Linked DNA regions of Kluyveromyces lactis. The protein of the gene in region 2 interacts with the protein of the main gene of each other region in a pairwise test. Links are inferred from orthologs where the notes say so. Each region holds a gene or a part of one and is shown on either strand. Other genes may lie near its edges. The genes, in order: BUD6 and PEA2.

Evidence for each region.
Region 1: the proteins of PEA2 (region 2) and BUD6 interact in a two-hybrid assay, tested with the Saccharomyces cerevisiae proteins (5 studies listed by BioGRID, with this or other methods). The link is inferred for Kluyveromyces lactis from reciprocal best matches to the Saccharomyces cerevisiae genes PEA2 and BUD6.

The regions. Positions count from the first base shown.
Region 1 is NC_006039.1:1,620,934-1,625,351, forward strand, and holds BUD6 (formin-mediated actin nucleation enhancer), read left to right. Parts: upstream 1-1,813; coding exon 1,814-3,907; downstream 3,908-4,418. Other genes in the region: MMS22 (Mms22p), read right to left, coding at 1-1,516; EST2 (telomerase reverse transcriptase), read right to left, coding at 3,932-4,418.
Region 2 is NC_006041.1:890,390-893,401, forward strand, and holds PEA2 (Pea2p), read left to right. Parts: upstream 1-1,495; coding exon 1,496-2,512; downstream 2,513-3,012. Other genes in the region: phosphoprotein phosphatase PP4 catalytic subunit PPH3, read right to left, coding at 1-694; SPT15 (TATA-binding protein), read right to left, coding at 2,882-3,012. UniProt on the Saccharomyces cerevisiae protein: Localized to sites of polarized growth and is required for efficient mating and bipolar budding.

The DNA.
Region 1 (4,418 bases), on a different chromosome or scaffold from region 2:
CTGCGTTAGGAGTTGGAGCGATGGTGAAAAGCTTCATTCCATTCTTAATTTTCTTGGTATTTTTGTCTCTGTTAACCGCCTTGGAATTTTCTTGTCTAGTTTCCTTAACATCAGGTTTATCACCAGTCTTCCCTACCTTTGGATATCCCAACATGCTAAATGGCTCCCGGTAGCTGTTTTTTGAGGAATTTTCCCTTGTAGCTTTATTGGAATTAACTTTTCTGAAAGGACTAACTTTATTCATCATGGATATTCTTTCTCGCCCGCGTGATCCTGTTATATTTCTAGCTCGTTTCTTACCATGACGCTGGATACCTGTACGTTTTGATTTATCTTTCAGGATTGTGGGTTTACTATCCAGACTTCTACGATTCTTCTGAGTCTTTGTTAGCATGAAATCTATTTCACTAGTAGAATCTTTAGCTATTGCAGATGAAGGTTCAATGCTCGAAGGTTCAAAGATTATTGTTTCCAACGCAGTCTTTTCATCATCATCTAGAGTAAGTAGTTCGATCCCCTGGCTTGTAATTTCAGTAATATCATCAGCTGAAGATGGTGGATTTGAATCTGAATCTGAATCTGGTTCTGGCTCATATTTCTGTAGAAAATATTCCTCTAGTTTTGAGTCTTCCATTGAATCTTGCTCATTCTGTAGCCGTAGATATGTTTCCGGGAATCCAACTTCAATTTCAGCATCCGATTCTATTAATTCGTTTACAAGGTTGTCGTCTCTGGAATTAAACGTTCTACGAGATATTTTTCTCTTGGCTAAACCTTTACTCCGTGAATTTTCATCGTAGTGGTTATTTTTATTTCTTCCTTGTCTATTACTTTCAACTGTATTGTTATCAAGTGCTTTCTTCCACGCCATTTTGGGTAATACACCTTTGTATCCTGTTCTGATATTGACTTGCCTTCCTCTAAAAACAACGTTATCATCATAGGATAAACTGGATCTATCAAACTGATTCGAGTCACTTTCCGAATGACACTCGTCACGAATTTCATCGCTGTCTAGTTCAGCATTACCATATACCTCATCATCATCATCATCATCTGAAATATGGAAATGGTGATGCCTTCGAAGCCTTGTTGACGCAATAGTCGAGTGTTCTTGCTGTGAAAGGCCGCCCTTCACAGGACTCGAATTGAGCACGCCCCCATTGTCCGTATTAACAGTAATATCTTGCCGGGAACCACTCGGCAGATTGATATGATCTGCTAGAGATTCGAAATTAGATACATCGTACCCTTGCAATAACTGCCGATGCCGTATTCTATCCAAACTATACGGCATCTTCTGGATTGCTTTACGCTTTCTCAATGCACGTCTTATACTATTAGAGTAAACTCCAATATCAGGAGGTGTCTGTGCTACGTTATCGAGACTGCCCGGAATGACGCGTACCTGGTATTCGTCATCGAAGATTGGAAATACATTTGGTTCCGAATGCAGAGGTATTACGATCTCTTCATCACTAGCCTCCGAATTGGGGACTACAGAGTCCTGATTCATCCCACAGAAACCACGCTATATGTCATACGCGGTAACACGTCTCTGTTGGTTGCTTAGCTTCTGAAATGGTAAGTTTCCATACTTTCCTGTTTCATTATCTCGGCCTAACTTCAGGAAATTACGTTTCTTGATATTTATCAACAAAAGATTTATGCAAACCAAATCAAACCTAAAGCTTTTTGATCTAGTAATGCTTTGAAGAAACATACCGTTTAAAAAGTGTACGTTGGATTTCCTAGCTAGTAGTTAGGTGTGTGGAAGCAGTAGGGTGAGGTACGTAAGGTGTGTCTGATAAAGATGGAAACACCACCACCAATTTCTAAATCAGCATCATCTGTGGAAACTAGTGTGACGAAACTATTGATTTCAACTAAACAACTATTACAAATTCTGACGCAATGGTCCAAGGGCAAAGTTACCGAGCGTAATGTTTCCGATGTGTATGTTCAATTGGGTAATGATTTCAAGTTAGTCAGTAGACATTTTACCCATGCTAGAATTGATATTTCGGATCTTGGCGATGTGCCAAAAGACCTTCGAAGAATATTGGAGGTGGCATTGAGAGAGACTGCATCTGAGGAAACGTTGAATAAATACCTACCGCAGATCAGAGATATTATAGTTAAACTCTTGGAGAAACTTAAGGTTAAACAGGCGATGATAAAACTGAGCAGGAATGAAGATGCTTTGAAATATCAGCATACTCCTCAAAGATCTTCCGTTTCATCCGTAGTCAGCGCAACGACATCTTTGGCTGGCGCGGGACCGACATCTACTTCAGCTCATATTGAAACAAAACAGATACCTACGTTAGAAGTTCCCAAGGGTTCTGAAAGCGATGCGTTAACTCAATTGAAAAAGGGAAATAATCTGCAAAGAAGAGCCTCGAAGAGGTTTTCAGCGTATCATATGGCGAAATTAGCCAACCAAACAGCTTCAGATCCATCGAATTCCCCAACGTCTAAAAATTTAGCAGTTCCAGCCGCTGCTGCAGCGGCAGCAGCGGCCAATGTTTCTGATACAGAAAGCATTAAAATGGAAAGACAGCCTTCTCGAATCTCTTCTGCTTCATCCGTAGATTATCATCCCATGACAGGAGCACCAGAACCAAAAGGTGATAACTCAAGCATAGATGAAATTGTTGTCTTTTTGAAGATCGGTGAGAAGGTGAAACGATGTGTAACTAGTTCTCACCTCTCTTTCAACAAGCTTAGACTTTTATTTGTTGAGAAATTTGCATATTCCCCAGGAGGTGATGTATTCCCTGACATATATGTGAAGGAACCCAAATACGAGGCATTTTACGAACTTGAAGAGAGTCACCTACATGGTATAATAGATGGGAGCGTATTCCAATTACAGGTACAATCATCGTCTCTAGATGAACAGTTCCGCCAACTTCAAGATGGTTTATTAGAAAAGCAAGATACAATTTTTCAAAATTTGAAAGAGATTATCCAAAATAGTACTCACGTATCGTCACCAGATTATTCAAGTGGTCCAAAATCCTCAGATTCTGCAACAGTTATACATGAGGATCATCGTAAAGAAGTTGCTCATATTAGGCACGAAATTACCGTTTTAAAACAGATACATAGCGACCAAAAGAGATCGCTTCAAAATACTATAAACGCTATCGTGGAAAAACTACAGAAATTCCAGAGCCTTTCAATAACTACAGGAAAGTCAGCTAATCGCGATTATATGGAAAAGTCCCAGTCGAAGTTATCCGAAGTTTCTGATAATCTTTTGAGTAAAGTTGACGATCTTCAAGATGTCATTGAGGCATTACGTAAAGATGTGGCCATTAGAGGTGCGAGAACACCCAAGAAGAAGATTGAAAATGTATCGTCTGAATTAGACTCCGCTAAGAAGGATTTGGATCAAATGAGAAATTATATAGATGTCGAAAAGCCAAATTGGAAAACTATTTGGGAAGCGGAATTAGATAGGGTGTGTGAAGAGCAACAGTTCATGACATTGCAAGAAGATCTCGTATTTGATTTACAAGAAGACTTGAATAAGGTTATGGAGACATTTGATTTGGTTAAATTGTGCTGCGAACAACAGGAAAAGGCCCCAAAGAAGAATAAGGGAAACCCCATTCTTCCGATAGCCAAGCCAGGCACATATAATATGATCCGCGATCAAGTCTTGACTGAAGTTCAGAATCTCAACCCAGATCATGACAGTAGAGTGGAAGCCATTAAAAAGGCAGAAAAACTAAGAAACAGAGAGAAAGAGTACAAGGAAAATGAAGCCTTTGAAGATGAGTTGGGCAATTTCGTTGAGAAAGGTAACTTCAAAAAGGCCGGTGGCATTGAGGAGATAGAACGCCTAAGAAAACAAAAAGACGAAGAAAATCTGCGTGTTAATTTTGGTCTGATATAGGTACAATAATTTTAAGTAATAGCATTAAAACTCTATTAATAGTTTCAAATCGCTGACATTTGTCAAAATGTCTGCAAATGCGTTCTTCCTTAATTTTAATTGTTCAAGGAAAACTGACAACACCAGTTCTTTTGACGCGACGGACTTTTCCATCGAGAACATATTAGCTGAAGAGAGGTTAAGATCAATTCGCTGAAAAATGTTGAAAACAAATTGTTTGAAAGATCTTCTGCTGCTTTTCTTCCTATTAAAAAGGACAATGAACGATTGAATTACATTTAACGCAACTTCTCTCAGGAACCTTGCAGCCGTTTCCCAAGAATTTAAGCGCTCGTCCAGCATATTATAAGATAGTCTCATCTCAAAGATCCAGAGTAATTTATTATACAGTTGCTTAGATGATCCCAAAACTGTTCCTAGGACATTATACGATGAGCGGTCTTTCCAAACTTCTAGGGTTCTTAGATTTAACTGCAGTGCACAAAAAGGTACATTTGTTGATGTTTCAGAT
Region 2 (3,012 bases):
CGATTAATTCGACACTATTTGTGTGTAAAAATTTATCTACTTCGTTTTGGCCAAATAGGAAACCTGCACCACGCGGGGAAAGAGACCAAGTATCCACATCCTCTGGATCCGACCACAATAAATCACACATAGCACCTTCATGCGGTACCTCCTTTTTCCTATCGATGGTTCGTATTTCGTTGATTGATAAAACGTCCGGCGATAATCCACCATGAACACAGAAAACCTTGTTGTTTACAATGGCACCCAAGGGCAAATAGTCGAATACTTCGCAACAGTATCTCCATACGTTACTGTTACCATATTTCCTTACCACTTCGTCGTAAAACCCATAAACCTTCGTAATCTGTCTTGTTTCATGATTTCCTCGTATCAACACAATTCTATCTGGATACCTTAATTTATAACATACCAAAAGAAGGAAACTCTCTAACGAATAGAACCCTCTATCCACGAAATCTCCCAAAAAGATGTATCTATTCTTTTCAATGCCTCCACTCTTAGCAAAGAGAGTCAACAAATCATGCAATTGGCCATGAATATCTCCACAAATTGTGACTGGCGTATCCACATGTGTCACGTTAGACTCATTCATAAGAAGTTCTTGAGCCATGACACACAGCGAGTATATCGAATCCTCGTCAACATGTTTCCCCTGCCTTAGAGTCTCTATAATCTCATCGAGTTTCATCATTGACAGATGCTCAGACGACGTTAAAGTTAAAACCAACTGGAAGTATAAAAGATAAAAAAAAGTGATTCCCTGTTCAAGAACTGACGATATTATTCTATAGTGATGAGTTTGGATCAAATCCAACAAAAACCTACCTTAAACTAATCTAACAAAGGTAAACTGAATAGTCATCATTAACAATATAGGCTTAAAAGCTTCTTTACTTTCTTATTTTCCAAAATTCGATGAGATAGACAAAATGCAAGTATCAAGAGAAATAAAAGTATCAAGTATCAAAAGAGGTAACAACAATTACATTTTTCGGTTAGCCTGAAAAGTCAACTTGTCGGTCTGCGCTTTCCGGTATGTCTACAGTATATAGCGTAGTGTGGAATGCTTGCCTGTGTTGTATATGGGAATTGTTCAGAATCTTGCTTCTTCTTCTTCTTCTCCTTCCATTGTTTCTTTTTTTTTGCCTGTACTCTTTTTTCACGTTTCTTTTTATCAGTTTGCTTCCTTTTTTGTGTTTCGGCCACAAAAACGATAATTTAACGTGACATGCGGGTAATGAGGTGTGCTTATGTAAGCCTTCGGAAGATGACACCCAGACATCGGAATGGCGGTATTCGTGCGTGGTGATGTCAAATATCACGTGGTTGATAATGTGCTTGTATTACCCGGAAACTGCATGTATGTCCCGTGCGTGGTAATTGAGAAAGGCATTGATCGGAATCAACGCGTCTGGATAGATGAACGGAATGTTAAAATGTAAGTTGCTACCAAACCAAGCTAGATACTGATCGCAGCTAGCCCCTTGATAGAATGCTTCGTAATAACCTGGACCAATGGTACGAGTACAATACCTCTTTTGTAGAGAAATTGCATGGGAAGTACCCCAATGAACAGTTGAATGAATATTTGCAAACTACGAGTACGAATTCCCTGATATCCAATAGACAAAATTCGGAGTGGGATGAGCTTCCAATGGATTTGGATTCCCAATTGAAATTGGAATTTGCATTGTACTTGATTAATGAATCTGCTAACGGTTCTCTAAGTACTAAGGGAACTACTTTCTTACAAAAGCTTGGCTCGGTAGACGTTGACACGTTGAAAGAATTAGTCCAATTGGTACTAGAGAATGATAAATCTTTAGCCAATAAAAGCACTGATGAGGATGAGGGGAAAGTGGAACAGATCACCTCCTACCTGATCTCTAGCTCCATTTCTAAAGGTATCAATTTGGCATCAATAGACAATTCTTCCAACGAGGAGGGTGTACATGATCCAATCTCATTTTGTAAGAAAAACATCGACATCCTGTTGGATGCATACCCACAGAATTCAAGCAGTTCTTTGCAACACGCGCCCCTTTCTACCTCAGAATTGGAACTTAACGATATCTCAAAACAACAGGACCTACAAACGGCTATCACGGATTTACAACTTGCATACAAGTTCTTGAAATCGAAATATGAAAATGATAGAGATGAATACCAGGCGACTATAGAAACTCTGAACAAGACTAACAAAGAGCTTTCTGAAGAGCTCTTACACTATCATAGTAAGTTGAAGGAGCGCGAGGAGAAATCGAAAGTCACTTCACAGATGCAATCAATTCCAATGGATATCGATAGATCCTTCTCACAAGCAATTTCCGAATCCAGTGACATCAAATCCTCAACATCTGCTTCTAACCATCAATCTTTCTCAATGATGAAGCAAGAATTTAAACGAATCTTAGCTGATACTCAGTTAAGATACGAAAAAGAACTAGAACAAGAACGCCTGTTGAGACAACAGTTGGAGAACAAGTTGGAAAATAAAGGATACCGCTAATCGTTTTATGTTGCCCTTAACGATCCAAAAATACTAGCATTAAACTTCAATATATTGTTGAAATGTAATTAACTTTGTAACATTATCTAAGACAGAATTCCTCATCCATTTCAAACTCAAGCTGGAAACCATTTACCGATGGCTATTAGTCGTTAAATTTGTGTATGAACTATATGATACATAGAGTAAGGTGCCAATAATAAAGACTTCTATTATAGCAGAATGGATATGAAAAGACAATAAGGAAGGAAAGATAGAAGGAACAAAGGGTTTTCTTGCAGAAGACGAGACAAAACCTCCGAGAATCGAATTAGTGCATTGTTTAATAAAATAAAAAAATGAATTTTTATAGTACCATCCAATAAAACATCATAGCTTCCTGAATTCACTCAACACAGGGTAGATAGCTTCAAACGCTTGATAGATTTCTTCTCTTTGTTTGGCACCAGTTAAGACAATCTTGCCGGAAACGAAAATTAGTAACACAATCTTAGGTTTCA